Sus scrofa: one gene and its partners. Each later gene encodes a partner of the first gene's protein in a complex. Links are inferred from orthologs where the notes say so. Each region holds a gene or a part of one and is shown on either strand. Other genes may lie near its edges. The genes, in order: STK3, RASSF5 and SAV1.

The links.
Region 2: the proteins of STK3 (region 1) and RASSF5 are in contact, whole or in part, in a crystal structure (PDB 4LGD), measured with the Homo sapiens proteins. The link is inferred for Sus scrofa from reciprocal best matches to the Homo sapiens genes STK3 and RASSF5. Residues at the interface, in NP_006272.2 of Homo sapiens: Phe437, Phe439, Leu440, Leu445, Leu448, Gln449, Arg451, Leu452, Leu455, Asp456, Met458, Met459, Glu462, Ile463, Leu466, Arg467, Tyr470, Lys473, Arg474, Pro476, Ile477, Leu478, Ala480, Met481, Lys484, Gln488; in NP_872604.1 of Homo sapiens: Trp369, Asp370, Ala371, Phe372, Ile374, Leu377, Gln378, Phe380, Leu381, Leu384, Glu385, Glu387, Glu388, Lys391, Ile392, Val395, Gln396, Lys398, Tyr399, Phe402, Arg403, Lys405, Leu406, Ala409, Leu410, Ser413.
Region 3: the proteins of STK3 (region 1) and SAV1 are in contact, whole or in part, in a crystal structure (PDB 6AO5), measured with the Homo sapiens proteins. The link is inferred for Sus scrofa from reciprocal best matches to the Homo sapiens genes STK3 and SAV1. Residues at the interface, in NP_006272.2 of Homo sapiens: Trp429, Lys430, Val431, Pro432, Gln433, Gly435, Phe437, Phe439, Leu440, Lys441, Asn442, Leu443, Ser444, Leu445, Leu448, Gln449, Arg451, Leu452, Leu455, Asp456, Met458, Met459, Glu462, Ile463, Leu466, Arg467, Arg469, Tyr470, Ala472, Lys473; in NP_068590.1 of Homo sapiens: Tyr311, Ala312, Arg313, Ala314, Pro315, Asp319, Trp324, Glu325, Phe327, Gln328, Leu329, Leu332, Asp333, Gln336, Leu339, Lys340, Leu342, Phe343, Glu346, Leu347, Ile350, Val351, Met353, Tyr354, Ala356, Tyr357, Arg358, Ala360, Leu361, Leu362.

What each region holds. Positions count from the first base shown.
Region 1 is NC_010446.5:38,008,103-38,018,652, reverse strand, and holds the start of STK3 (serine/threonine-protein kinase 3), read right to left. Parts: upstream 6,852-10,550; 5' UTR 6,617-6,851; coding exon 6,591-6,616; intron 1-6,590. UniProt on the Homo sapiens protein: Stress-activated, pro-apoptotic kinase which, following caspase-cleavage, enters the nucleus and induces chromatin condensation followed by internucleosomal DNA fragmentation.
Region 2 is NC_010451.4:67,176,920-67,187,033, forward strand, and holds part of RASSF5 (ras association domain-containing protein 5), read left to right. Parts: intron 1-6,844; coding exon 6,845-6,966; intron 6,967-10,114. UniProt on the Homo sapiens protein: Potential tumor suppressor. Seems to be involved in lymphocyte adhesion by linking RAP1A activation upon T-cell receptor or chemokine stimulation to integrin activation.
Region 3 is NC_010443.5:180,406,788-180,416,901, forward strand, and holds part of SAV1 (protein salvador homolog 1), read right to left. Parts: intron 9,997-10,114; coding exon 9,726-9,996; intron 6,743-9,725; coding exon 6,599-6,742; intron 1,019-6,598; coding exon 817-1,018; 3' UTR 1-816. UniProt on the Homo sapiens protein: Regulator of STK3/MST2 and STK4/MST1 in the Hippo signaling pathway which plays a pivotal role in organ size control and tumor suppression by restricting proliferation and promoting apoptosis.

The DNA of each region.
Region 1 (10,550 bases):
TCAACATATCTGAAAAATTTATCTTGCGTCTTTACTAAGATGTCTGTTATCATATAAAATCTATAGACTAATTCAGAACTCACATACAATACTACCATGTGTACGACTGTATTATCATTAATGCTAAGAGCTTTCTGCAATTCTCATTTATCTATTAAGTCATTTTTTTAAGATGTATCCTTTGATGTACTTTTAAGCAGTTCAAGGTAATCTGTACCTTAATTTCATGGCATGCAAACAATGGACTTATTTTTAATTTTCGTACATATCCGTTTACATATATGTTACTTTCATTTATTCGACTTAAGAGTCTACATAGAAAAAAAGCTGTAAGAAGACATTTCAAATATAGACTCTTTGTTCTATAACATGAGCTGAAAGTTTCTTCAAATCAGAATAATCCTAACATATGAGGCAATTCAAACAAAATCACAACAGGAAAGAAGCTTGGGAATAAAAAAGAAAATTTATATCAGATAGTATAAATTTTCTCTTTAGAAGAAAAAGCCAAAGACCTTTGGTAGATAGAGAGGGTGGAGCTGGTAGGGAGTCAGAAATTGAGGTCATCATAATTACAGTGGGATATTTCCAGTGCATGGGGTCATTCTAAACCAGAAGGCAAAAGAACTTTTGCCTCAAAGAAACCTTCATGAACTACATTTTCCTTTACAAACTCTGTCAGTCACCATGGGTAATTTCTCATTTTCCCATACTTTAATTGGGACATATAAAAAGTGTTCAAAATACAGTCATTTCTAAATAATGGTTTTCTCTCTTCCCTTTACCTCTCCTCTTTTTAGACTCTTAAAAATATCTCTATTATATGTACAGCTCGTGACAATTATACCACTCTGAATTCCTTTGGCAATGCCCTCATCAAGCTTTTAGGTATCAGGAAGAGTGTTGAAAATGAAAGGTTTCCTCACTGTAACAACTACATACACCAACAATGTTTTTCCAAACTACAGATCACAACTGATTTTCAAACTGCAGATCACATCATGAAAATAATTTGGTGGGTCATGAATAGCAACTTTTCAATGAACTCGATCAGAATTAAAAATAGAAAAATATCAGAAAACATGGCAGAAAGTACATTTCATGAAAATCCTATTTTAATTTATATATATATATATATATATATATATTGGTCTGTACTGGGTCTCATCATTAGAATTTTTTTTAAAAAATTCAAAGTGAGAATATATGATGGCCTGATGTGACAGAACCTCTAGCTCTACACAGACTTCTTTGAAACCAGAAACATTAAATTCTAAGCACATTCCCCCCCATAAACAAATGAGAAGTGCTCAATTTAAACCAATTATTATTAAAGCTTCACTAATACACATTTCTGGAATGCATACAAGAATTTTTTGGGATTACTTCAGAAAAAAAATTTCAACCTAGCTGTGTTTAACATATGTTTACCTTTTTCTTTACATTTCCAACAAATTCCAAAAGTACTAGTATATGCTCTATCTCGGCCCCTTAAAGAACAATAGATAAATTAATCATTGCCTAGAGTTGAATAAGATGGAGTTTATCTCCTTTTTGAATGTGCAGCTGGGGTTTGCTCACCAGGAACTGCTCCAAATGTTGTCATACTCCTCTCTCCAGGAAGGAAAAGCCAATTGATTGTTCCCATTTACAGGGCCTAAATCAATTCTAATGGAGTTGGTGCCATCCTGGATTAACCAAGAAAAGCCAAAGTGAGGACAGATATGCTTTAGGGACCAAGTCATTAATGCAAAGAAATGCTCCTGTTTGCTGGATTATTCTCCCACTGGACCACTTAGAACACCTCTTCCACTTGCCTGCCTCTAAAGTTGGAAGATTCCCCCAACTCCCTGAGGCCACTGCCTTTGTTTTTAAGAGTTCTTCAAGTTCATCTTCTTAAAGACAACTCCAGCTCCCCAGATTGTGAATCTCTCTGATAATAAGCACACAAGAATTTTACTTTCTAACATTTATCTCTGTTCCTAATTTCCAGCCTAAGGTCAGAGCCACTGATGCTACAGGCAGATATGGGTTCTTCATGCTGAGGAACATATAATTACCTTCTACCTTACCCTTCTATACCCTTTTCCCTTTACCTTGGCTTTTTCATTCCATGATAATCTATCTTCTGACTGATAATCCATTCACTCAGAGCAATACTTTCTTTCCCTTATGAAATGATTGTTTTCTTACCTTCACTCTTCATCTGTGTGAATGCACTTTGTAACCCTAACATTTTGACTTTGATCTTCAACTATACGTCCTCCAAACTAACTACCTTTTCACAGTAAAAAAAAAAAAAAAATTGCCATAGAATCCAACTATAGCTGAAATCAAAGAACCCTCCTTATCTTGAGAGTAAATAAGGTAAAGGAGTTTACTTTCTTATTATCCATCCAGTGTTTTCACTGTTCCACATTGACTTGTCCTCCAATTATAACTTAATCAATGAATTTTTAATTTTAAATAATTATTAATCTTATAACCTAACAGGAATAAGGCCTATTTGGCAAAGTCTATCTTTCCAGCAAAGATATTCCATCCTCTCTTTGACAAGTACTGGGTATAACTACCTACCCTCCAGCAGCAAGTGTTCTCATGCTGCCCATCTATCTATCATAAGAGACCTACCTTCCCTTCTATGAATGTTCTACTTGGAGAAGAGCCTGTGTTTGGTCACTTCCCCTTTTACCTACCAAAACTTACCTATTCTGTGATCATTTCTTTGCCATCCAGTAGTTTCCCTACAAAGCAATCTGATAAGCTCAACCTACCAAAATACTAACAATTAATAACCATTTAATGGATTTCTCTTCTCAGATGGACTTCATTTCAATAAGGACTTTTAAAGCCCTCTGTGACAGAACTGTTAAGGAAATCTGGGGAATCTAAAGGCCATTCTGATCCTCAAGTCAGTGCCATGGGTGACCACATCTATTGCCTATGTTTAACACGAGCCTTGTTGGGGAGACCAAATCAATAATGTGAAGGTAAGAGGGACCTAACAGACCATCCAGTCACTAGATTCTCAGATCTGGCTGCACACTGGAATCTCTAACTCCCAGATGATACCCAAAGAAGGAAATTTCAAAGTCAGTGACAAAGCTGGGCCTAACACCCAGGCCCAATGCTATGTCAGATATATTAGAACAGTACATTGAAAGTATAAAGACAAGTATGGAAATGACAAATACACAATTCGGAACAGTGACAACCCTTTGGGGGTTGGGAGGGGATGCAACTGAGAAGAAATATACTTAGGGGGCTTCAATTGCATTGGAGATATTTTATTTCTAGAGCTGGGTAATGACAGGTAAGTATTTACTAAATTAGTCCCCATTATCTTTTGGATGTCTAAAATTCTGAAATTAAAAAAAGAACAATTTGAAGATGAATACTCAAATGGACATCATATGAGGAATACAGAGAGGTATCTTAGGCTAGATTGTACTCAAATAAGATACTTTATGAAGCAGGTCTTGAAGAATGAATAAAACATAGATTACTGGCAAAAGATAACAAAAACTTTTCTAAAGGAAACACAAAGGCAAAGGTGGAAGTACCTAGCCTATAACCTACTTAAAGAACAACAGGGAAACTTTAGAAGGGCAGATTCAGCTTGGAGAAGTAACTAAAGGCTGGGGGTTAAAGTTGAGAACAAGTGAGGGGGGACCTTGTCAACTAATGAGCCCCAATCCAAAAAAAATAAAAAGAGTAGAATGACTAAAGTAATGTTTTAGCAAAATAAATCAGAAGCCACATGCAGGATGAACTAAAGCAGCGTTCTGTGAATCGTTAGGTTCTGTAGGACCCCAAAAGGAGAACAGAAGGAAATAAGGCACTGGGAACCAGGTTCTGGTGCCCTGACTCTACTCCAAAGAACGCCCTTGTGCTGTTGAAATATTTCTGCTATTAAAATTTTTTGATAATCACTGGATTACAGTGCCTAATTGGAAAGCACCGCTATAAATCAACAGTGAGGATCTTAAAACCCTGGAATGGGGTAGTAGGCATGGAAATTAAAGTGGGGGGGAAATGAATCCACAGACTTTTTGATGAAAAATTTGACAGGATCTAGTGACAAACTAAATAGGATAATGAAAGAATGGAGCTACATGAAAAAATCAAAAATACTAACTGAGCACACAGACTTGATCATCAGTAACATACATGTGACCATGTAAAAATGTCTGCACCTTAAGTAAGTGCTACTCAAGGCAGAAAATAAAAGTGGCATTCTTACAGGGATTAAGAAGAAAACAAGCAAAAGGGACCAGAAGATTATAGAAAGAGATGACCACCACATCATGGAATGCTAAGAAAGCAAGAGAGAGTTCTGAAAAAGAGGCATCACTGTCTATAATGAGAGGGTGCACAACCCTTGGAGCCCATCAGGCCCAGGGTTCTGGCACCTTCTCCACCTGATCAAGTTATTTAATCTCTCCAGGCTTCATTTAATAAAGAAAATATAAAGAAATAACTAACATATTATGAATCACTGTGCTAAGTGCTTTACATATGACCTCATTTTTCTCCTCAAATCACACTTTACAGATGAAGAAATTTAAGTCTGACCTAGCATAGTCAGCTACAGAGCCAAGATTCCTATTTCTTGGGACAATAAAGTATAAAAATGTAAACACAGGCATTCCCTGATGGCCTAGCAGTTAAGGATTCAGCACTGTCACTGCTGGGGTTTAGGTTCAATCCCTAGCCCAGGAACTTCCATATGCCTGGAGGGCACAGCCAAAAAAAAAAAAAAAAAAAAGAATGCATATATAAAATTCCTGGCAAATAGTAAGACCTCAAAAAAAGGCAGCTATATTTCATTATTAGAGGGTAATGATTAAGGGGGAAACACAAAACCTCACTGTCGGTTATCCCTGCCATAGCCTTCTACGTGACGAACTCTCTTAGTTTCTTGCCTATAAAACAGGATTAATGTCTGTAATCCTAACGACTCTATAGGGCTGCTATAAAGATTAAATGATATTACAAAAAAGAAAATGTTATGAAAAAATATGAAGAGATATTCAAATACATGGGATTGCCACATATCTTTAGCTCTTTAAAAATGCTTTCCTGGATCAACATGTCTCTCTGAAAAGAGCTAAAAATAAGTTGCTCAAATGTGTAACCACCACTTTGAAAAGTATAAGTCAGCATGGAATGCTGACATATACTACACACACCTCCCCCCACCCCTCCAGGCTCTCCCGTGTCCCTGCAGGGGCAGGGGTTCTCCAACACCCAGAGTGAAACTCTGATAACTTAGAGCAGAGCTAATCCATACAGAGCTTCTACTTCCATTCAGAGCTGTTCACCTTGGCCTTAAAGTACTATCGCCAAGGTGCCCCTTACAGCCATTCAGAAACAAAATGGGGGAAAAACTGTATCCAGTTTTCTTCTATAGTATTAAAACTGGGTACCCAATCAATATTAGAATTGGGATATTGTAGAATGCCAGAAAAGAATCTATCAAGGGCTCTGCATGACAGCAGGTCTCTTTTGGAAACTTCTCCACAACCCCCCTTTCGCACCTGAACAGATGGTTTCCAAGCCTCAAGGCTCACATGTCCAGTGACACAATTCACAACAGCTCACAGAGTTTCTATCTTTTTAATTATTTCATGTTCTTGAATATACCACCTTTCACTTAAACTCTCTAGGTATCAAAACACTCTAGTCCTCACCAAAAGCATCATCTGGGAGAGAGATTAATACTCTTATTTTATAAATGAAAAATGAAAGACTTAAATGTTTTATCCAATATCAGTGGACTGATTCATTGTTGGGTGTGGGGACGCACACTGAGAATAAATATCTATGGAAAGCCTTGATTTAGCTTCCCAAGAGCACTTCAAATATCAGTTCAAAAGTATCTACTGTGTACTCTTACACATCCAGTATATCAAAGAATAAATATAAACAGTAAATATCAAAGCATCACTGTTTTTACATGCTAAAAAAAAACAAACAAAAAAAACCAAACCTGTATGGGGGGTGGGGTTCTAATTTAAGATTTCTGTCTTGCATCCATAAATACTTTTGAACGTGTGGAGGAAGGGGGAGGAACACCTGTCAGTGCAGCACATCTACAATAAGTTTTACAGACACTGTAGCTAACACACTGTAGCTATTAATATTTAATTCCTTGAAGTGTAAGTAAACAGCCCGCTTTCTCAAAAAAAGGGGGGTGCATATTATGGAAAACATTTGACAAGAAAGCCTATAGTAAGAAGTCCAATAATTTCCTAGTTTTACGTCCCCCAGCTTCGTGAACTTGCCACGAGGGAAAACTCTGCCCGCCCCAGGAGTCCAGCCGCTGGGCGCCCGGCGCTGCCCACCGACTTTCCACGCGCTCCAGGCCCGGCGGGCCGCAGGGGAAACGAGACTCGGCCTCCCTCAGGGTCCCCTCGCCGCACGGACCGACGCGGCCCTACACTCGGACCGGCCTCGAGACCCCCGGAACTCCAGGCTCCCGGCCCGGCAGTCAGGGAAGGGGTCGCGATCCAGCCCGGCCTAGCGGCCCCCGCCCAGCGGCCGCCGGCACCGCCTCCCTCCTTCTCCTTGCTCCCCGCGTTCGTTACCTCTTGGGCGCCGGCGGCTGCTCCATGGCGGCCGGGGGCAGAAGGAGGGACCAGGTGGGCGGCGAAGGCCGGAGTCGGGCAAGGAGCCGAGGAACCGGCCAGCCGAGCCCAGGGAACCACAGAGGGAAACTCCAGGAACTCGGACCAACTTTCCCGTAACTCCGCGGCGGATCCCCCTCCCGCTTGCGAAAGCGGCTCCTCCCGGCCCGCCCCGCCCCTCCGCCGGGGGCCGCAGTCCTGGGAGGGTGGGCGGAGCCGGCCGCGGCCCAGGCGTGGTAGGCGGAGCCAGGCGCCGGGGAGGGCTGCCAGTGGGCGGGGCCGGGGGCGGAGGCAAGGGGCCAGCCACTGGGCGGGGAGGAGAGAAAAGGAGCTGGGATTGGAATGGGGAGAGGGTGAGGCCTAGTCGGGTCCCAGAGCCTCTGCTTGCTGGCCTGGGGCATTCCTTTGAAGTGGGCCAAAGCTGCCGCTCCTCACTTGCCTTCATTGCTTTTGCCCCAATCAGATTTGACTCATTTCACTGGATTTCTCAAGAATACCTCCCAAACATCTTCAGCAGCCTTTTGAAGTACTAGCTGCCGACACTTCCCTCTCTAGTTCTCTTTATAATTATTGGTTATGTTTTCCCCCAGCCATCCCCCACTACGAGGGGTGCTTCTGGAAGTTCTTGTTTGATTTTAATTGTGGACAAACTCCTCGCAATAATTATGTCTAATTACAAAGAAAATAATTACTGCAGTGAGATCTCTCATGCACTGGATTCAGTGCACTGCTGGCAAACCTGTCACAGATTATGGTACATAGAAAAGTACTCAAGAAGAGTTTCTTTCCTTCCCTTTTGCCACCCTCACCCTCACCTGTCCCCAAGACATTTGTAATTTGACTCCTTCATGCATCCATATTGTGTGTGTACCATTTAACCTTAAATTTCATCTATAGAGGGTTTTTTGTTTTTTTGTTTTTCTTTTCTTTTTTTTTTTTTTAGGGCCTCACCCACAGCATATGGCCAGGCTAGGGGTTGAATCAGAGGTGTAGCTGCTGGCCTACACCACAGCCACAGCAACACAGGATCCAAGGCACATCTGTGACCTTCTCCACAGCTCACAGCAACACCAGATCCTTAACCCACTGAGCAAGGTCAGGGATCAAACCTGTGTCCTCATGGATACAAGCCTGCTTCGTTAACTGCTGAGCCATAACAGGAACTCCTATAGGTATCTTTCTTATGACCTTACATGGTGCTATGTAATGACCTAGCTTGTTTTTGTCAGAAATTGTCACGATGAAGATTAAAACAAAAGGTATGAAGAGAATGTTGTGAACATTAATCCAAATTATACTTATGTATGGAGACAGTCCTCCTTTTACGTTATTTTAAGTTTTTTCTATGTAATAAAATTACATGATTTATTTTCAAACCATTTTATTCTCCCCCTAAACTTAAAGTTTGTTAAGGCCATTTCCTGTTTGTTTAGGTCATTTTTTAAATTATAGTTGATTTACAATGTTGTGCCAATTTCTGCTGTCAGCAAAGTGACTCAGCCATGTGTGTGTGTGTGTGTGTGTGTGTGTGTGTGTGTGTACACATACCTCTTTTTCTTGTATTATCTTATAATATCTATTATAAGACCATTCAACTCATTGTTGAAACCTAAAGTCAAATTCTATGGACAGGAGAGATTATTACAGAATTTATACTTGTTTGCATTTATTAAAGATCCACAGTCTAACAGTTCAGAAGTAACAAGACAATCATTAAGATGTCAAAGCTAGGAAAAACCTTCGAAATTACTTCATTCTGTCCCTCACACTCACCCTCACTTCCATGCTCTAGTCCCATCTCCTTATACTTTATCAGAAAAAAATCTCTTTCAGGGAAAATCATTGTATCTTTTTTGAAAACTGACACGTTTTTAATGGGCTCAAATTATAACACTTTTTTTTTTTTTTTTTGGTCTTTGTAGGTTCACACCTGCAGCATATGGAAGTTCCCAGGCTAGGGGTCGAATCAGAGCTACAGCTGCCAGCCTACACCACAGTCACAGCAATGCCAGATCAGAGCCACATCTGGGACCGACACCACAGCTCACAGCAACACTGGATCCTTTAACCCACTGAGCGAGGCCAGGGATCATAGCCGCATCCTCATGGATAGTAATCAGATCCCTTACCGCTGAGCCACAGTGGAATTCCAAAATTATAATATACTTTAAAAGATGGATTAAATTGTGTTACTAACCTTAATCTCATGGAAGCCTTTCCCAATCAAACCAGCCGAACCACCACCCCACTACCTCCAACACTTCAATTATGAAAGAGATGCCTCTCTTCCATGCCCCCATAATCCACTCTACTGGCTTTTTTAGGATTCTTATCACACTGTATTGAAGTTCTATTTATTTGACTGTCATCTCAACCCAACTGTGAGTCTGTTGAGAACCAGACTGTCTTTATTCTCTCCTATCCCTTGCATAACAAGTACCTGACACACAGCAAGGGCACCAGATTGGGTAGCTTCCTTTTACTTCCTTAGATTCACTCTCCATCCTTCTCCATCTGCTCTTTGCCCTGGGGCCAACCTGTATGACTGGCATCATTGGGCTCTCAGCTCTCTGACTTATGTTTGAGTCAGATGATAGGGAGACCCAGTAGGAGATCATGTAAGAAGAAAAGAATGTAATTTCAGGCTATTTATTCCCCTGGTTCCTTTCCTGCAAGGTCTCCTAGGGCCCAACTCTCCTAATCCCTTTGGGCCTGAGGGTGGTGACTGCTCTGCAATTCTCTGGATTCCTCCTCTATTCCCCACACCCCCTAGACCTCAACCCTCCTCCTATGGCCCTAATTTGAGTGTACCTTCTAAAGGGTTTTCTACTGAATTAAATTGATAGACACCCATAAAGAAGGTTTGTGGAAGGAAGAGGAATAATATCAGAAAGTAAATATCTGAGGTCTCCCCTCAACCCAAAAGGGAGAGCGCTAACAATTGTTGTGTGACCCCAATGGGATCAGACACTTGGCCCACATGCTCTCATTAAACCCTTGAAACTGCCTTGTTTGCTAGTTATTTCTGCTTTAAGTGAAGAAATTGAGGTTCAAATGGGTGGAGGGAGTTATCCTAGGCCACACAGAAAATCTGCATTCTAACCCATGCCCTTATAACTCCAAAGCCATGCCTTATCCCCCTGTAAGTCATTCAATAAATGCTAACTGAGCAATCGTGTATGTAGGCACTGTCGTGGGCACTGGGGATCCATGAGTAAAGAAATTTGACAAAAATCCCTGTCCTCGTGTTGTTTACATTCTGGTTGGTGAAACATAGTAAGACAAATAAGTAATCAAAAATGTTCAGTACTGAGGGAGTGCTTGCTATGGCAAAGTGAGTTAGGAATCCGACTGCAGTTGCTCGGGTTGCTACAGAGGTGTGGGTTCTACCCTGTCTTGTGCAATGGGGTAAAGGATCCAGTGTTGTGGCAGCTGCAGCTTAGATTCAATCCCTGGCCCGGGGAACTTCTATATGCCTCTGGTGTGACCATGAAACCAGTATATATGTGGATGTATATAGTACTGACATCTGCTAGGACGAAAAATAAAATGGAGAAAGAGAAAATAAAGTGGAGGGGAAGGGATGGAACTTGGAAAGCATGGCCAGAGGGGGCCTTCATGAGAGGGTGATTGAGGAGGAAGAGCGGAGGAGAGCCCTGCTGAGCGCTGTAGGAAGATAACTGTGAGGCGGAGGGAACACTTAGTCTACAGCCCCGAGGCCAGTGGGCCTGGTGTGTTCTGTGTTACAGAATAAAAGGAATTGTTTTTCCCCTGAATTACTCAGGGAAGAAAAAAAAAAAAAAAGACTCAACTCTCTGTTTTAATTTGTCTATGGCAAGCCAGCCTGGGGATTCCAAGAAGGAAAGCAAAGAAATCATCTTTCAACTTGCAAATAAGAAGCAGCAGCACTCATGAACAAAA
Region 2 (10,114 bases), on another chromosome or scaffold:
GAGGCTCTCGACAAGTCTCTTAACCTCTCCAAGCCTCAGTTTCCTCATCATTAAAATAGGAGTAGAACAACGGAGCTGGAAACTCACATCCTCAGGAAAACTTGCATGCAGATGTTTTATGGCAACTTTATCTGTAATCGCCAACACTTGGAAGCCACCAAGACTTCCTTCATCGGTGAAAGGCGTACATACACTGTGCGCCATCCAGACAATGGAACGATATTCAGACCTAAAAGGAAGTGAGCCATCAAGTCATGAAAAGACAAGGAGGAAGCTTAAATACATGTTACCAAGTGAAACAAGCCAATCTGAAAAGGCTACAGAGTGTATGATTCCGGCTCCGTGACATTCTTGAGAAGGCCAAACTACGGAGACAGTAAAAAAAAAAAAAACAAAATCAGTGGTTACCAGGGATTAGCAGGGAGGGAGGGGCGAGTAGGCAGAGCACAGAGATTCTTAGGGCAGTGAATCCACGCTGCGTGCTGCTGTAATGGTGGAGACATGTCATTATGTATTTGTCCAAACCCAGAGAATGCTCGGCACGGGGTGACCCCTCATATAAGTGGTGGACTTTGGGTGATAATGACGGGTCAGTGCAGGCTCATTGGTTGTAACAAATGTGCCACTCTGGTGGGGGATGTTTGTAATGGGGGAGACTGTGTATGTGGGGGGGCAGAGCAGAAAGTCTCTGTACCTTCTGCTCAGTTTTGCTGTGAACCTAAAACTGCTCTAAAAATAAAGTCTATTTTATTTTAGCTTTTTGGGGCCACACCCACAGCATATGGGGGTTCCCAGGCTAGGGATCCAATCGGAGCTGCAGCTGCCAGCCTACACCACAGTCATGCAATACAGGATCCAAGCCGCATCTGCGACCTACACCACAGCTCACGGCAACGCCAGATCCTTAACCCACTGAGTGAGGCCAGGGATCAAACCTGCAACCTCATGATTACTAGTCAGATTCGTTTGCACTGTGCCACAACAGGAACTCCAAAGTCTATTTTTTTAAATAATAGGTGTAGAAACACGTATCATAGAGGCATTGTATGGATTGTGTGAAATCGTGTATGTAAAGTGTCTGGCACATTGTAAGTAGTGACTCGTGACACTCCCCTGTCATCAGAATGTGAGTCCATGATTTTTCTTTGTTCTCTTTTCCATTTGTAAAGAATATAAGGAGTTCTCGTTGTGGCTCAGTGAGGTAAGGATCTGACATTTGTCCCTATGAGAATGTGGGTTCGATCCCTGGCCTCGCTCAGTGGGTTAAGGATCTGATGTTGCTGTAAGCGTCAGTGTAGGTCACAGATGTGGCTCCGATCCAGCATTGCTGTGGCTGTGGTGTAGGCCTCCTATCTGACCCCTAGCCTGTGAACTTCCATATGCTGCAGGTGCAGCAGAAAGAGAGAAAGAGTGAGAGAAAGAAAGAGGGAGGGAGGGAAGGAAGGAAAGAAGAAAAAAAGAATGGCTATTTATTATAAACATGCAGAAACAATAAGGAGAGGGAAAACACCTGAAATCCCATTACTGAGAGCGAGTGTGTCACTTTCCTTCCAGCTCTTTCTCTCTGTGCAGAGGGTATATGTAGGTATGTGTCTGTTTTTATTTAATTAGGACCAGAAAACGCCACCTTTTCCTCTATCAATGATATGCTTGTGGACATCTTTCCAAGTTGGCCAATCTGCATCATTTTATATATAATGGTTAAATAGTATTGTGTTTTCAAATATATCATAACTGTCACTGGCCCCCATAGATGTACGTGGGGTATTTCAGTTCTATAAACAACTGTGTGATGAACCTCTTAGTGGAGATATATTTAGATACAAATAATTATACACAGCTGAGATAAATTCCTACAAGAAATTGGTACCGTGAATAAGGCAAGAACCTTTTCATCCATGATGACTGGTGTCACATGAAGGCACAGGCACCCGGGAGATGGCCCTGTAAAGATGGAGGCAGAGTTTGAAGCGAGGCTGCTACAGCCAAGAAACACCAAAGATTGCCAGCAAATCACCGGGAAGGAGCCTCCTGCAGGCTTCGGAGGGAGCATGGCCCTGCCAAGGCTTTGATTTCAAACTTCTAGCCCCAGAACTGAGAGACAATACATTTCCGTTTTAAGCCACCTAGTTCACGGTGCTCTGTTATAGCAGCGAGGAAGCCAATACAGCCCGGGTCTGAGGGTGGCCCCTGGGAGTCCCCTCCCTATCCTGGTGCAGAGCTCCCTCTTTGGAGAAAGCCCCTGTGGCTGTGTCTCCACCACTCATCCTAAAATTGGCCCCTTCTGTGTCCATAGGCCCCTCTTCCCAAACCTGAAAGCACATTTCTTTTCCTTAAAAAGTCCTTGGAAATGGGGACAGGGCCTGTGGCTGGAAGGGAAGGGTGGGGAGGGGAAGGGATAATTTTGTTTGATAGATGAAAATTCTGAAGTCAAGAAATGCCAGGAGTTCCCTGGTGGCCTAGTGGGTTAAGGATCTGGTATTGTCACTGCTATGGCTCAGGTTTGAACTCTGGCCTGGGAATTTCCACATGCTGCAGGTATGGGGAAGGAAGGAAGGAAGGGGAGAAGGAAGGCCACTTCTTCCTAAGACAGCTGCACTTAGAACCTAGGAGTATCGCTCCCAAGTTTCTCACTGCTTTTTGCTGGGGAGATGCTTATCCTGTGCATCCTTCAATGTCAGAGTCCCTGCCTCCTTTCGGCCCCTGCAATGAGTGACAGAAGCCTGATCCATTCTTCAAGCTCCCCATAGCCTCCTCCACTAAGAAGCCTTCCTGACTGCCATGGCCAACAGGTGTCTGTGTCCTCAGAATGACCTTCCTAGATCTGGGCCCTGCTCTGGGCTTCCTCTCTTGATAGTTACCTTTTCACCTGTGAGTCCTGTTGGTCCAGCCCACCGGGCTCCCCCTGGGACCCTGTCTCATTCATCCTCACCCTCAGGAGAGCACGGGGCACGGGAAAGTCCGTGCTCAAGACACCAACGTTGTTGCCAAAGATGAGGTGCTGGCTGTCCAGGGGAGGCTGAGCCCCATGCCACCCAAGTCCCTGTCTCTGTCCTCATCCAGACTGAGCACCAGCTGAGGGCCATGCGGGACATGATGGGACCAAGGACACGGGTGGGCTTGGCAGCACCTCAAGAGGAGCTATCTTGTGGGAAAGATGGCCCGTGCAGGTTCAAGCACTGAGTCCCAGTGGAATGCGACCCTGACCTGGGACTCTCACAGGTGTCCCCACTCAGGGCACGTGAGGCGGGGCCTGCCTCTGTGTGCAGAGCAGGGCATGGGGACTCTGACTTCATCTTGGCTGGCCTAAAAGCCCGGGGCTTAGTTAGCATTTCTAGGGGCCAGGAAATATCAAGCCATGCTTCCGTGGTTTTGCGACAGTCTGTGATTACACGGTCAGATGGGACAGACCCACTAGTGCTCAAATGTGCTTTTTATACAATCCCGAAGCACCCCTCTTGGAGTCTTCTGGGTCCTAACTCTGTCCAGCTCAGCATCAGACCTGTTTAAAAAAACAAATACAAAAACAACAACAAAAAAATCTCCCAAGGGTTTTGGTGCTGTTTTCAGAATATGTGTGTGTGTATGTCTGTGTGTGTGAGAGCGAGATAGACAGACAGACATGGAGAGATTCAGTTGCACAGATGGACACAGACCGCCTGCTGACATGGAATTGAAAGAGGAGACAGGAGAACTTTCTCCTCTCCCCAGACACTCTCCCCTTTGGCAGCTGGTGGCAGCTCTCACTCCTGCTTCCCACTTGGCATCCGCAGAGCATTCTTCATCGCTCAGAGCGTGGCCAGGAGCTGCACAGGTGTGTCCCGGAGTGGAGCCGGGAACAATGCTGCCCTGTGTGGGTTCTGGCCTTGGCGCTCCCTTATCAAAGCCCTGGCATTTCTGGGCACTGTGGGCAGGGAGACTTGGCCTGCACAACCCCCCGTGCCCTTCACCCGGTGCCTGGGTCTCCTGCTGGGGGCCCAGGAATGCGAGTGGCTGCTGGCAGGGGTGCGGTCCTCCACCCACCCCATCTCCAGTGGGAGCACAGCTTCTCGGGAGAAGAATCAGGAAGTCTAGGCAAGGTTGGGGTCTGAAGGAGGGGATGTCAGTGGACTTGACCTGCAGGCACAGGGGAGGTGAGCGGTAGGGCTTCTAAATGCCACCCTAGGAAGGTGGTCAGGACTTCAGACCATTGAGTCAGAGGGTTGCTGGGTTCTGGGATCCCTTCCTGTCCCTGCATTGGCCAGGCGCTCCCCTGAAAGTATTAAGATCAAGAAATGTGAGCCGGGTGCTCATCCTTGGGGAGGTAAGAAAGGGGGCAGCTGGGGAAAGTGGGGTTCTCCTTCCAAAACGCTCCAAAAGAGTGGGGAGACCCACCCACTGCCACCCTAAGAAAGACTGTGCTACAGCAGCTTTAAAAAGATGATCCAGGGAGTTCCTGTTGTGGTGTAGCAAAAACAAATCCAACTAGTATCCATGAGGATGTGGGTTCGATCCCTGGCCTCGCTCAGTGGGTTAAGGATCTGGCGTTGCTGTGAGCTGTGGTGCAGGTCGCAGACAGCGCTTGAATCCCTTGTTGCTGTGGCTGTGGTGTAGGCCAGCAGCTGTAGCTCCGATTGGACCCCTAGCCTGGGAACCTCCATATGCCGCGGGAGCGGCCCTAAAAAACAAAAACAACAACAAAAAGAGGGTCCCCAGGTGCTGTGGTTCTGGAGCTTGTTAAAAGGAAGGAAAAGAGGGAGCTCCTTGGTGGCCTAACAGTTTGACCCCTGGAACTTCTACATGCGGCAGGTGTGGCCCAAAAAAAAAAAGGGGAGGGGGGAGTTCCCTTCATGGCTCAGTGGTTAACGAATCCGACTAGGAACCATGAGGTTGCAGGTTCGATCCCTGGCCTTGCTCAGTGGGTTAAGGATCTGGCATTGCTGTGGCTGTTGGTGTAGGCTGGCAGCTACAGCTCCGATTGGACTCCTAGCCTGGGAACCTCCATATGCCGCAGGAATGGCCCAAGAAATGGCAAAAAGACAAAAAAAAAAAAAAAAAAAAAGGAAGGAAAAGAGTGTCAGGAGACTGAGCCCAACATAAAGCTGTCCCTTCGTCCCCAGATTATCCAGACATGTCCAGGCTGTCTCCTGCCACAAGCCCTGCCCACCCCAGCCCACCCCTATGTACCGGGTGACACGGTCCAGCAACCTTCTCATTAAGACTCTGGCAGCCTCCCTCAGCAGGGCCTTCTGGCTGAGCTGTGGCACCTCCAGGGCTGGTGACCCTGATGGGCCCAGCAGCTTCTGTGGGAACCAACCTCCAGCCTGAGCCTTGTGCCTGCTGATGGGCTTGGACGGATTTCTTTCACTGCCAACCTTTTTTTCTCTCCCATCCTCCCTGCCTTCACCTGCCCCAACCTCCCGGCCTCCTGTCCCCTTCAACTTCACCTCCCTTCTGCCAAGGAGGCTTCAGAGAGGGCCCTTGGGGAAGCTGGAAACTGCTTGCAACCTTGGCTGTGCCACTGAGCCGTGTGTCATTGGGCACCGTGCTTTACCTCTCTGGGCCTCAGTTTCCCCATCTCTGAGGTAACCCCCCATGGTCTGCTGAACACTGGTCATTGTCTTACTTCCATGGATGTGAAACAAATGTGTGCTTTCCTCCAAAGCCTCATTTGGAATGTTGTCTGCAGGCCATGTCAGCCAAGTTAGAGGAGCCACCTCGCATTTCTAGATGGCACTGTGTCAGAGAGACGTGACAGCCCTTCCTGTTGGTGATCATGCCTTTGTCCCTGGAGAAACCTTTAATTTGTTGGGGTTCTTTTTGTTTTTTGGGTATTTTGTTTTGTTTTGTTTTTTGTCTTTTTAGAGCCTTACCTGTGGCATATGGAGGTTCCCAGGCTAGGGGTCTAATCGGAGCTATAGCTGCCAGCTTATGCCACAGCCACAGCAATGCAGGATCTGAGCCGCGTCTTCGACCTACACCACAGCTCATGGCACGCTGGATCTTTAACCCACTGAGAAAAGCCAGGGATCGAACCTGCAACCTCATGGTTCCTAGTCGGGTTCATTTCTGCTGCGCCACAACACAGGAACTCCCACCTTTAATTTGTTAAGACCCGTTCTCCTCTATAACTGTAATCATCCTTGTGCACCAGGCAGGGCCATTATTACCTGTTTTACAGCCTGCAAAACAAGGCCAGGAAAAGTTAAGTTCTTCCACAGGGATTGGGGCCTCTGATGATTAACATCAATTAGTAGAAAGAGCACCAGCCTGAAGCCAGATGATCTGCCCTTGAGAAAGTCACCCTAGGCCCCAGTTTCCTGTCGGCAAAGTGGCGGTAATCATGGTTGCAGGGTCACACACAATAATGGAGGTGGAAACAGTTTACATACTGGGAGCTCCCATTGTGGCTCAGAGGTCATGAACCCAACTCGTATCCATGAGGATGTAGGTTCAATCCTGGCCTTGCTCAGTGGGTTAAGGATCCGGCGTTGCCATGAGCTGTGGTGGAGATGGCAGATGTGACTTGGATCTGGAGTGGCTGTGGATGAGGCTGTGATGAAGGTCCACAGCTGCAGCTCTGATTTGACCCCTGGCCTGGGAACCTCCATGTGCTATGGGTACAGCCCTAAAAAGAAGAGGAAGACAAAAACAAAAAGGAGATTGCAAATTCTAAACAAAAACTAGATTGCAAACTGTAAAGCACCTATTCACCTTCCCTACTCATGGTAGTTCAGAGAGAGCGAGTCATTCTCATGGTGTTCTTCCCCCTCCACCGCCCTCCAGGAGCTACATGCCGCCTCCCAGGGCCTTTTTCTGGGCCTCCTGTCTGGCCCCTAATCCCTCTGCGGTTCTCTCCCTCCAGACTGCAAATTCACCTGCCACCCTGAGTGCCGCAGCCTGATCCAGCTGGACTGCAGTCAGCAGGAAGGCTCCTCCCAGGACAGACCCTCTCCAGAAAGCACCCTCACTGCAACCTTCAGCCAGGTAGGCGGGAGGGCTCGAGCTCCAGGTTGGCGACAGCCTCCTGAGGTGCCCCCAGGTTCCCCTGTCCCTCCCAGGGGCTCTGGGGAGCATGGGTGGCGAGAGTGTTCCATGTACGCTGGATGTTGGGGGTCCCCTTCTGGCCAGTTGGGGTCCATAGCACACTCTTCGAGTCTGCGCCCAGTTCCAATGTGGGGGGTTTCCCCACACCACCACCCTCTGACACCCAGTGGGTGCCCTGTAGTTCAGCTCAGTGCTGTACTCTGCACCCCCCACCCACCACCTCAGATACCAGTTGTAAGAGTATGTTGTCACCCATGCTTCGGACCAACAGGCTGTAGGTGGGAGGTTGCCACAGCTCTGTCTTTGGGCTCAATGCATTTGTTAGAGCAGCTCACAGAACTCAAAGAAACATTTGAAACTTACTAGATCGCCAGTTTATTATAAAAGGATATAACTCAGGAGCAACCAGATGGAAGAGATGCAGAGGGCCAGGTGGGGGAGGTGCACAAACTTTCATGTCCTCTCCAGAGGTGCCCTCCCTGCTCCTCCCCATGTTTCCCAACCCAGAAGCTCTCTGAGCCCCAAACTTCCAGGACCTTACAGAGGCTTCATTATACAGACATGATTGATCAAATTGTTGGCCATTGGCGATTGATCCACCCTCCGGCCTCTCTCTGTTCCCCAGAGGTCAGGGGCGTCCATCTGAAAGTTCTAATCCTCTCATACTTGGTTGGTTCTCCTGGCAACTAGCCTGCATCCTTAGGTGGGATCCAAAAGTCACCTCATGGAATTCCCATCTTGACTTAATGGTTAACGAACCAGAATAGTATCCATGAGGACGTGGGCTCAATCCCTTCCCTTGCTCAGTGGGCTAAGGATCTGGTGTTGCCATGAGTTACGGTGTGGGTTACAGATGTGGCTCGGATCCCACATTGCTGTGGCTGTGGTGTAGCTACAGTAGCTACAGCTCCAATTCAACCTCTAGCTGGGAACCTCCACATGCCATAGGTGCGGCCCTAAAAAGACAAAAGACAAAAAAAATTTAAAAATAAAACCGACAATTTTAATTTTAAAGAAGTCACCTCGGAATTCCTGTCATGGCTCAGTGGTTAACGAATCCAACTAGGAACCATGAGGTTGCAGGTTCGATCCCTGGCCTTGCTCAGTGGGTTAAGGATCTGGCGTTGCCATGAGCTGTGGTGTAGGTTGCAGACGCGGCTCGGATCCTGTGTTGCTGTGGCTCTGGCGTAGGCCGGCAGCTACAGCTCCGATTCAACCCCTAGCCTGGGAACCTCCATATGCCTCGGGAACAGCCCAAGAAATGGCAAAAAGACCAAAAAAAAAAAAAAAAAAAAAAGTCACCTCATTAACATCACAAGAAATACCTTTGGTGCTCTCATCATTTAAGAAGTTCCATTGTGCCAAAAATGGAGACAGAGATCAAATGTGTATATCTCTGATTATTAATCACAGTATCAGAGTTCTCGTTGTGGCACAGCAAAAACAAATCCGACTAGGATCCACGAGGATGCAGGTTCAGTCCCTGGCCTCGCTCAGTGGGTTAAGGATCTGATGCTGCCTTGAGCTGTGGTGTAGGTCACAGACGAGGCTCAGATCTGGCATTGCTGTGGCTGTAGGCCAGTAGCTACAGCTCCGAATCGACCCCTAGCCTGGGAACCTCCATATGCCGAAAGTGTGTCCCTAAAAAAAAAAGGCAAAAAAAAAAAAAATCACAGTGTCACACATCCTTTCCAAGAGGCTGGGGAAGCGGAATAGCATCGGTGACACAGGGAAGCCTGTCATTATTCAGAAGTGCCCTCCCTGTGGCCCACTCCAAGCACAGAACCTGTTTTGGCCTAAGGCTCCAGCCATAGGTGTGGGTATGGTCAATCCCAGAGAAAGCTCCTGGGGATCCTCAGAGGCCTCCGAGCCCTGGGGCAGTGGGGATGCTGGGGCTGAGGCTTCTGGGCACATTGTCCTGCCAGCCAGACCAGATCAACGTCAGAGGGCCTGGACAGATGTCCTTTCTCTGCGTCAAAGGACCAGGAAGTTGATGCCCAAAACAGCTCTTGGTCTGGGCTTTGCCAAGGCACCTGAACCAGGATGTGTTTGATTTTTGATGTCAAGGATTTGGGAGGAAGACAGGAGAGCATTGTTTTATATGTGTGTGTGTGTATATATAGATATATAGATATATATATAAAATGATTTTTATTTTTTTCCATTATAGCTGGTTTACAGTGTTCTGTCAATTTTCTACTGTACAGCATGGTGACCCATTTACACATACATGCATACATTCTTTTTTTTTAATTCTTGCATTGAACATTGATTATCAAACACTGGTAAGAGTGGGGATAAAAAATGATACACCACAGTTCTTGTCTTCAGAGAGCTTACATCCTGGCAGGGCAGGCAGAATACAACCAAATAGGACATAATGTGATGTTTGCTTCAACAAACACACGAATCAAAGAGTTTTTTGCTTTTTTTTTTTTAAGGAAGAATAGGTGATTTACAATCTTGCGTTCGTTTCTGGTGTACAGTAAAGTGATTTAGTTATATATATATATTCTTTTTCATTAGTTATATGTATATATTCTTTTCACAAGATACTGAATACAGTTCCCTGTGCCATACTGTAGGACCTTGTTATTTAACTATTTTATATATAGTAGTTTGTCTCTACCAATCCCAAACTCCTAATTTATCACCCCCGCCCTACATAAGTGTTTTGAGTATACAGTGCAATTGTTTCTCTTGGGAGAAATCAGGGACTACTTCCCAGAGGAGGTGATGTTTATTCTAAGCCTTAATGTATGCGTCAAAGGTTGCTGGTCAAGGAAGTAAGGACATCATCCAGGTATTTATTTGCCAAATATGTTTTGAATATAGACCATGTGACAGGCCCTGGAATGCCAGGGGCTTGGTGATGCAGTAAGGGACTTGGCATCCTTTGGTGATGCCAGGGATTTAGGAGAGCGAGACTAAGTAAACTCCATGTTTCTGAAGGAAAAGGCCCAGGTGCTGAGAGACACATAGATGTGAATGACTGGTTATTTCCTCAAGAGAGCACGAGTGGGCCTGGGGAATCGGGATCCAGTCCCAAGTCCCCAGACCAGCCATCCCCACGCTTTTTCTGGCCATG
Region 3 (10,114 bases), on another chromosome or scaffold:
TTCAGACCAAAAAATACTTTTTCAACATGTTTTAAAAGGGTTCTTTACATTTGGGGGCAGAGGAACTTCATACATTATATACAAAAATTTATCACCCAAATCCCATTTTATGTTTTGAATGGTAATATTTAAACCATCCAATTCCAGGCAATATTCCACATGAAAGCAGTAGACATCTTTTTTTAAATACTGCATAGGTTATCTCTCTGCTTTTTTTTTTTTTTTCTCTGCCTTTTCTAGGGCCGCTCCCTCAGCATATGGAGGTTCCCAGGCTAGGAGTCTAATTGGAGCTGTAGCCACCAGCCTACACCACAGCCACAGCAACGTGGGATCCGAGCTGCGTCTGCAACCTACACCACAGCTCATGGCAACACCAGATCCTTAATCCACTGAGCAAGGCCAGGGATCGAACCTAAAACCTCATGGTTCCTACTCAGATTCGTTAACCCCTGCGCCACAATGGGAACTCCCTCTCTGCTTTTTAAAGAAAGGTACTGCTACTATAAGAGTTTACTGACTGATAATTTCCTACTTAATATCTGGTTAAATGACATTTCTTGCTACATTTGTTGCCATCAAGAATATTCAAAGCAGTTTCCAAATATACAGCATTTAGAAGTGTTTGCCAGGTTGGCTCTTAAAATGATAAACTCACTTTTTTCTTAATAAAAGAATATTTTTAATAACAAAATATATGTAAAATTAGATTTATGATGTCCAAAAAAGTAAGCTGCCTTTTTAACCAAAGTACTTGTTTGCAGTTTTTCATTTGTGAAAAGATTTTAAAGCCCTTAAATTTTATTTATAAAAATTAACTTAAAAATTCTTGCCATGTTGCTGGGCATACCACTGTTGTCTCTGCTTGCGATTTTCCAACTCTGTGAGAAGAGCCTGTCTGTAGGCTTCATACATTTTAACAATCTGTTCCAGTTCTTTCATGAAAAGCAACTTCAGCATTCCCTGGTATGTATCCAGGTCAGCCAGCTGGAAGAGTTCCCACTTGAGAATGTGGTCATATCTGTTTTAAAACACAATCAAACATATTCACAATGTATTCATAAATATGTATTTATAGTAGTAAACTGGTCTGTTTTTATAAATATCAATTTTACTAAAACTAAATATATCATAAACCTTAAAATAACTGAGTTATTAACTGCTAGTTAAATAGACTATTTTTTAGGGAAAGGAGAAAACTGCTAATATTACTTCATTTCAATTGAAGTTAAAAAATACCCATTTCTATTCATCTTAAATGTCAGTTATTCTAATATTAACACTAGACAATGAACACAGATTTCCAACCACTGTGGTTCTATAATTTCTAAAGAACACATTCCACTCTATACATAAGCTCATTCAAAGTTAACTGTCAGGAACTTAAGAATACTTTAGACAACACTGCTCTTGTAAAGAACAATACACAAAAATGGGCAAGATCATTTGTGTCATTAGTGTTGAGACCTGCTGTTCACTACAGGAAACAAGGAGCTAAACAGAGAAAGGAAAAGGAATTATCATTTGTGGGCTACATTTTCCTGAGGTTGAGTATACAGTATTATAAACTGAACAGAACAACACAAGCAGAAAGGAAAGAATAAGCTCTTTACGAAATGAGAAAACAAACTACACAATGTGGGATGGACTCACCTAAGATTATATTTATATACATTTCCAAAGTCCTTCTTCAGTGGTAAGCTGAGATGGAAGTATGCAACAGACTACTAAAGCAGTAATTTTCACTTTGGAATGAAAGGGGTCTGAGGACAGGACTCTAATCCAGTCTTCTCACTTTATACATGAAACCTAGAGAAGCTATATACATCTCTCTTGCAAAACTGTTTAGTGACTAAAAGATCAGAAAGAGAATTATGGACCAAGATGCATCGGAGTAATAGTTCTGATGTTAATACCTACCAAGACTAGAGAAAGAACTTGACCTACAGCAAGGCATATATTTATATAATATTAAAGTTATACTTCTCAAATCATATTGCAGAATGGACATAACAGGAAGACCTTCAATTGTAAATTCTAATAAATTTATTCTTAGTAATTATTGACAAGATTTCCTACCTGATTGATGATCCTCTGATGGGGAACTCATTTACCATCTTATTCCCAAAGGAACATCTAACATTTTTTAAAAATGGACAAAGTAAACAAATACAGAGCTTGGCGTGCTGCCATACCTCTCTGTACAACTTGGGTATGTGTACTAGGAATACCAGAAGCACAAAACACAAGATCAAAAAGTAAACATTTTGTTGGATACCAAATTTACTAATTACTTAATGAGCACTGAAAATTTACTAATAGAAATATCTCTTTAGTGAGAAACTCCAACTACTTGCGGACATAAATTGGAGAACTAGCATGAGAAATACTCAATGAGCCCCTGTGAAAAAAGTTTTAAGATGTTTCCTAGAACTTCTGCCATTCATGTACCTTAAGATTTCACTTATTTGTTTGAAACAAATTCATAATTCCTAACAAAAACCTTCATCTTTCTAAGTCTGAACTACATTAACTAAGGAGCATTTCAGCAGTGTCCACAGATTCAAGATGCTTAAATTTATGCCAGGTGAACTCTAAAAATGTTAAAGCTCATTTATTGCCTATGTACTTTCTAGCAAGGGAGAAAAAAAAAAAAAGAGAGAATTAATAGGGTAATCTTGGTAAATACCGTGCTTATTCCCAATCACAGCATTTAGCATCAAGAATAGGATTCTGAGTAGAAGCAACAAAATCAGGATAATTAGTGAAAATACTTTGGGAAGAAGAAAAAGCACTTTAAGGAAAAGCATAAATGAGCAAAGTATGCAATGTGCCAATTTCCATTCCAAATTCTTGTCCCTGCTGTTTCTATGCAGTTACTTCCCTTCTGCCTATGCTTGCTTTTATTTTTTTAGAAAAGTATGTAATTCCCATTCTTCTTCACAAGCCAAATGATCTGCTTCAGTTTACCTTTTAGCCACTATGCTCTAAATACACAGGTAAATCATTCAGAAAATAGGCTGTAAACTACTCCAATATCCTTCCTTTTCTTATAGCACCTCTTTTGCTGTTTTTTCTTAGGGCAGTATTCTATCCAAACAGTACTTATAAATAACACATATATATATATATTCAAACAATAATTGCTGTAATGCTACCAAAAAAACCATGTGCACACTCCAGTGGATGCTGCCCTCAGGAGCCAAAAGCTGCTGTTCCCAGCCCTGGTTATTATAGTGTAGCCCCAGTTCCCTGTGCCTGTCTTATGTAACAGTGTACCCACTCCTTTCCTCCTACACCCAGAAATGAGTCAACAGTCATACAGCAGGAACACCAAGTCACAGGAATAAAATAAGGGTCTGTGCCACAATGCTGTTGGGTGTGTGTGTGTGTATGTGAAGAATAATGGAAAGTAAACATGTCCCTAATGGTCTTTTTCCTGTTAATGATTAAATCTTATAAATTTACCCTGTAGTTCAACTAGAATTACAGTTATATGATACATGACAGGCTTCTGTGAACAAATTTAGAAGCATAACTAAAATTAATAAAAATTTAAAACATCTGTTCTAAAGGTACATGTGCAAAAATTACTTTGCTAAATTATTGCTAAAGACAAAATTAAGGCATTTTTAGGAAATAAGATGTCAACTGTTTAACAAAAGGAAGAAACACGCTAATTTTTGGCTAAAACCTCTTTTTTATTAAGTAACTGATTCTCCATTATCTACTTCAAAGAACAGTTCACCTTTTGTTGACAAGACAATAGTAACCATTTCCATCCTCTTCAGAGATAAAAATTTAGGATCAACTAAAAGGTAACAGGTCTCTAGACCTCTTGTTTTAAGCAGTAAAATACATACTCTCTATTCTTACCGGCCAATTTTTGGAAAGTTCTGATCTATTTGGGGAAAAAAAAAAAAAAAAAAAAAAAAAAAGTTGATAGTTTCCTAAAGTTTTATAACTAGCTCATAGAACCTGAGTTGAAAGGGATTATAATCTTTGAGTTATTTTTTCTCATAAGAAGCAAAGAATTCCATTTTAGTACTATTTTTTCCCCAAAAAGGAAAAGCTTTCTATGTTATTTCTTTCTACAATGGCTATAGAGTAGCAATAACATAAAGTAGAAAGAATAACCCTCCTCAATCTTATCAGCTTCCAGAAGTGACAAATGTTTAACAGACACACATTCCTCCAGACTTAAGGAAATATATGAATATATTATATATGACTTAGGATCAGCATATGAACAAGAGCTATGTACAATACAAGGTCAGTGGTATCATGATTGAAAGAAGAGGGGAGAAAGGAAAAAAAGTCCATCTGGTATGATTCCTCATCCTATTCCTATACTATATGGATATTATCAGATAAAGAGGCTTCTGTAGGTTAGCTCAGACACCAAACTATGCTTAATTTCTGTGAATATGTACATAATTTCAAGTAAACTAAAGCCAAACTGCTGACAAGCTCTGTTTACACCTTGCAGGATAATATTTATAACTAAAACGTTAAAAAATACACTGACAAGGCCTAAATTTGACTTATGGGAAAAAAAATCCTAATGCTTTCAGATCAGAGTCCTCAAATACCATCTTGTCTTTCTGCACCAGGCCACAGAGATCAATAGCTGTGAGTTTATAGCACCTGGCCACAGAGATCAATAGCTGTGAGTTTATAAACTGAGAAGATCGGGGAAAGTGTAAGGGAATGTTTATGTTGGCCAATAATTAACAAATATTTCATAGTAAATGACCAATAACTTTATGATATTTAATTATTCTAAGTTCACTGTACAACCATCTTTCTAAAATTCTTCTGTGGGCTATTTTATGCTGATAATTTTGGTTTTTGAAACACAAAAGGAGTACTGAGAATAAACGTACAAAACATCACTTTATATAGTTGTTAACAGTACTGTACATGTAATTATTATGTGTAAAATACAAAGTACCAGGAATTTGATACTCAGTAAATGGTAATTAGTATTAAGAAAGTAGTAATGACAAAAATTAAGAGTATGAAGAGTATGAACTTTGAAGTTAAAGGTTTAAAATCCACCACTTAACAGTTGTGTGATCTGGGAAGAAACAAAATTTTTTTCAACTATAAAACAGACTGAGGAAGGTTCTATGAGATAACCTACCTAAAGGTTTATAGTACAATATGGAACACAGGTAGCAACAGCTATTTACTTTTAAACCCCCACCCCCTTTTTTTAGTTCCCTTTTTGGTTGCACCCATAGCATATGGAAATCCCAGGCCAGGAATCGAATCTGAGCTGCAGCTATGACCTATGCCACAGCTGTGGCAACATCAGCCACACCAACCCCACTGAGCTGGGCTGGGGATCACACCCACCCCTCAGCAGCAACCCAGGCCACTGCAGAGACAACGCTGGATCTGAAACCTGCTGCACCACAGTGAGGACTCCCAAAAACCCCCTTTTCTGAAATCACAGCACTCTGTATATACCACTGATACTAATCCTTATCACATTGGGTTATTAATCTGAGTAGCTACTTCTGCTTTCCCAGAAGAGAAGCTCTTTGAGGCAAATATTTCATTTATTCATGAATACATTCTAAGAACAGTGCCTATTATGGCACCCAACAAATATCCTCAATGAGCTTCGCAAACTCGGAGCCATCTATAAAAACTAGCTCATGTATTTTCCTCTTTTAGTGCAGCTTTCCTTGCTCACTCACTATAATAATAAGAAACCATAACTAAGGGACTTACCCAAGTCACCCACTATGCCCATTTGCTTTAAAATGCATGATTGCTTTTAAGCCTCACCAGGAGTAAGGTAGGTAAGGTAACTAAGATTACCCGCTGTGTTTCAGTAGAGGAAAAACACTGAGAACTAAGTTCAGTAACTTGCCCAAGGTCATTCACTAAGTAGGTGATGGAAACAGAAATCACGCTTTCCTTCCAACCAGTTTCCCTCACAAGCAATATTAACCACTATTCTGTACCTTCACCCCTAATAATAACAATCATTTACTAAGCTTTCTCAATGTTCAAGACACTGTTATACATGTTTTAGATGCATTGTTTTATTGAGTACTTAATAGGCTTAAGAATAGGTACTATTTACTATCTCCAGTTTATAGAAGACAAAACTAAGTTAAGCACCCTGTCCAGGGTAACAATGTGTCAGTGAACACAGAACATCTCAGAACTTTAGCCACCATGCACAGTATTTCCTCAACACCCTTGTGTCCTTAAGTTATGCTCTTTTTCACATGTGCATCTAGGACTTCTCTGGGTCCCTCCTTTTATCACAAGAGATTGTATCACTAATTTACAAGTTATTCTACCCCTATGAGAATGTAAGCCTTTTACTGAATCCATGTAATAGCACAAGTTGGCACACAAAGAAAGTGAAGATTCAATAAAACTTTGTAAAACTTCTGTTTCTAATCAATAACTTTTCAACTTTACAAACTCTGATAGCCTTTCTTCAAATAAAATATCATTTAAAAGCCCAGTATTATTAAGAGAAAAAACATGGTGCTACACAGGTAAAACAGCCCAGAGACTCCATTCCGCTCTCCATTCACTTTTCAACAAAAATTTGTGCTATAAATTCACTTACTTCACAGGGGCTCGAGCATAAACCTGAAGCCAGTCAGGAATTTCTGCAGCATGATACGGATTTGCAGGTACCAGAAGGGACTGATTTCTTTCAGTTTGCTGTGGCTGGTATGTAACAGGAGGAGGTTGATCATATCGAGGTACGCTAAGAATAAAGAACATTCATTAGGATAAAGGCCCTCAATGAAACAAGAAATAGTAATAAGTGTTTTTCAATATGCCTCTTGCCCCAAATTCTACCACCTAAAAAACATAAAAATCTTGGCTTTTTAAAAAAAGGGAAGTAAAATCCACCTTCTCTTGGAAAATTGTAGGTCATTAATGATGGATATAAAACTAAACTAAATCTTAACATATTTTTAAGAGATTTCTCTGGTTGGTATTTATTCTTTTCAAGGGCAACTTCAAAAAAGGCCATAAAAAAAGTCAGAGCTAAGTTATAACCTTTAGACAGAGGCTTAAAACTAGAATCATAAATTTTAGTAACAGTAGTAATTAGCTGTAAATTTATATTGGAAGGCTTGATAATTTTTCTCAAGATAAAAATGGATATTTTCTTCCTCCTTTAGGCTGAAAAGGGGGTTTGGAGTAGGTACTATAGCAGGAGTGAGTACTATGCTTGAAATGCCCACATTAGCTGTACTATTTTTTTCTGCTTTTAATAACTTTAAGAAAGTATATGGGAATTAGAATTGTTCAGAACCTGTTTTAAATCAGAGACTTAAAAAAGCCAACTCTTGGAGTTCCCGTCGTGGCACAGTGGTTAACGAATCCGACTAGGAACCATGAGGTTGAGGGTTCGGTCCCTGCCCTTGCTCAGTGGGTTAACGATCCGGCGTTGCCGTGAGCTGTGGTGTAGGTTGCAGACGTGGCTCGGATCCAGCGTTGCTGTGGCTCTGGCGTAGGCTGGCAGCTACAGCTCCGATTCAACCCCTAGCCTGGGAACCTCCATATGCCGCGGGAGCGGCCCAAGAAATAGCAACAACAACAACAACAACAAAAAAAAAAGACAAAAAAAAAAAAAAAAAAAGCCAACTCTTTTAACTAGTTCTAACAGGTCTGTGTATATTGGGGAGGAAAGAGAACAGCAAGGTGGGCTGGGGGCTGTTATAAATGGAAAATCTTAAGGAAAGCACTGGGCCACTTGAAGGTTAAAGACTGAATTGTGGGAGACCAAAAACGGCCTATCCTTAACTTGGATACTAAGTTGGAAATTGCCTCCAAACATAAAGATTTATGTGTATATCAGAAAAGGTCATTTGATAACTAAACTAGGACAAAGTAAGTGCTGGGTTAGACTATGGTTAACAATTTAAAGATCAATGTGCAAATGGCACTGAATTTTATCTTCATTTCTTTTTTCATAGATAGGTACAAAGTGAAATATCCCTTGATGTCACAAATGGAAGGTGGGAAAGAACTAAGGCTTTGAAGTCAGATACCCCCTGAGGGGGGGGCGGTGTTGGGTTGGGGCAGTTAACCTCAGTTTGGCCACTTATAGGTTGTATGAATGTAGGCAAAACTGCTTCACTTCTCTTATCCTCAGCCTCCTTATTTGTAAAACTGGAGCTAAACAGTAAATGACCTAATATATGTCAAGAGTTCTATATACTGACTGGCATAATATAGATAGTTAAATGGCTACTAATTAATTCTACTTGAGCCTAAGACATTTATTCTCTCTTTAAAGTTTAAAGTTGATTTGCGGAGAGACACAAATTAAATTATTGTGAAAATTCTTCATAAACTATAAAAATTCCGTAATAAAATTAATGACGGTAAACAGAAAACTAAGTTCCATATACTCTCAAATCTGGTTATAAGGAACAGAAAGCCTCTGCCACCTAGTGATAGCAAACTGTAACCACATGTTTTTGTTGTTTTTTTTTCCTGCATTTCTATCATTTACTCATTCAACAAACATCTACCTATGTGTGTCTCTATATTGGGTGCTGGGGACACAGAAGGAATTAGTGGGACTTACTATGCCCTTCGGTGGGGACTGTGACCAGGTGGGAGTGAAGCTACAAATTACTCACATGTCACAGGCCTGAAAATGGAAGCCAGGGAAAGTGCAGTTTGCTTGCAATGGTAAAAAGAATAGGCAAAGGGGCCTGAGCTTAACACAGGCAGAGCAGTTGACTTGGTTCTTTTGAAGGGATGACAACTTCAGTTGTTTAATAAATATTGACTGAGTGCCACTAAATGGAATCCATGAAAAAAATGCTTTTCAAAGTTGAATTAATAAATCCAAATGTGTAAAACTGTTAAAACAATACAGCAATGATAAAGCTTAGTTTTCTGGATGATAATGTGAAAATTTATTTTCATAATGATATTAATGGTTCTAAAAAACACAAATGCTTGCTCTAACCAAGTATCTATATTATGCTAGATATACTAAGCAACACCTATCAAAATGCTGATGATATTCTACCCATTTTTAATTTTATGGCTCAGTTCTTGAGAGCTCAAATATAGTTAACTAGAAATGTTGCAATTTCCATACTAGACTTTCTATATACTTTGAAGTCCAATGTGTACATGTATAACACACTTCAATTTGGCTTAGTCATATTTCAAGTGCTCAATAGCCATATATGACAACTGGCTAAAGAATTCATAGTAGAAGTTTGGCCATAAAAGAGATCTACTGATAAGGCCAACATCATCAAAACAGCCCAAAGGATCATTGGTTGCATTTATCAAACAGATTTGAGATGTTCTGTGCATTTCCAATTTTTGCTTTCTTGCCTGGCAAATAGCAAGACATGTAATTCAAAACATATATTCTGGCACATTATAAGGCAGGTCTGTATTTTTTATAAAAATTTAAATGTAAGGAGATAGATGTTTTATTTACTTGCTTCAATTTCCAGGTATCTTTAACAAAAAGCAGAATCTGATCACAAGAATGTAGATCTTGTTTTTGAGGCTATTTAAAAAGTTTTTAACTATTAAAGTAATTCACTACTAAATATAAGTCCAGAGAAAAATCTCATAAACTTTGAAAAACATAGTTTTCAAATTAAACTTCAGGATGCCTTTCTCTTTAATGAAAATATGAATTTACAGCTTAACATTATACAATCTCAAAACAAAGAGATAAAATAAAGTTGATATTTTACCTAGGAGCACAGGGATGCCTATATTGAGCCTTTTTATTTGTGTGATCTACATAATAGGTTCCAAATTCTGATGACTCAACTCGCTCCCATCCTGGAGGAAGTCCTTCTCGCTCAAGAGGATGGCTCCAATGAGTTGTATTTGTGTTGTGATCTATATAGTATTTCCTCCCTCTCATTGTCCAGTCCACAGACCAGCCAGGAGGAAGGGGTAAATCTTCAGAACCATGGTTTGTTAAATTTCCTAAAGATGTAGCAGCAATTCTCCCAATACCTGAAAAGAAAGAAAAAGAGAATAGAACAATTATTCATAGCTAAAAAAAAAATGACATATGAGAAACACAAAATTAACTATCTCAATCATACCCTTCTGTTAAAAGCCATGATTTTAC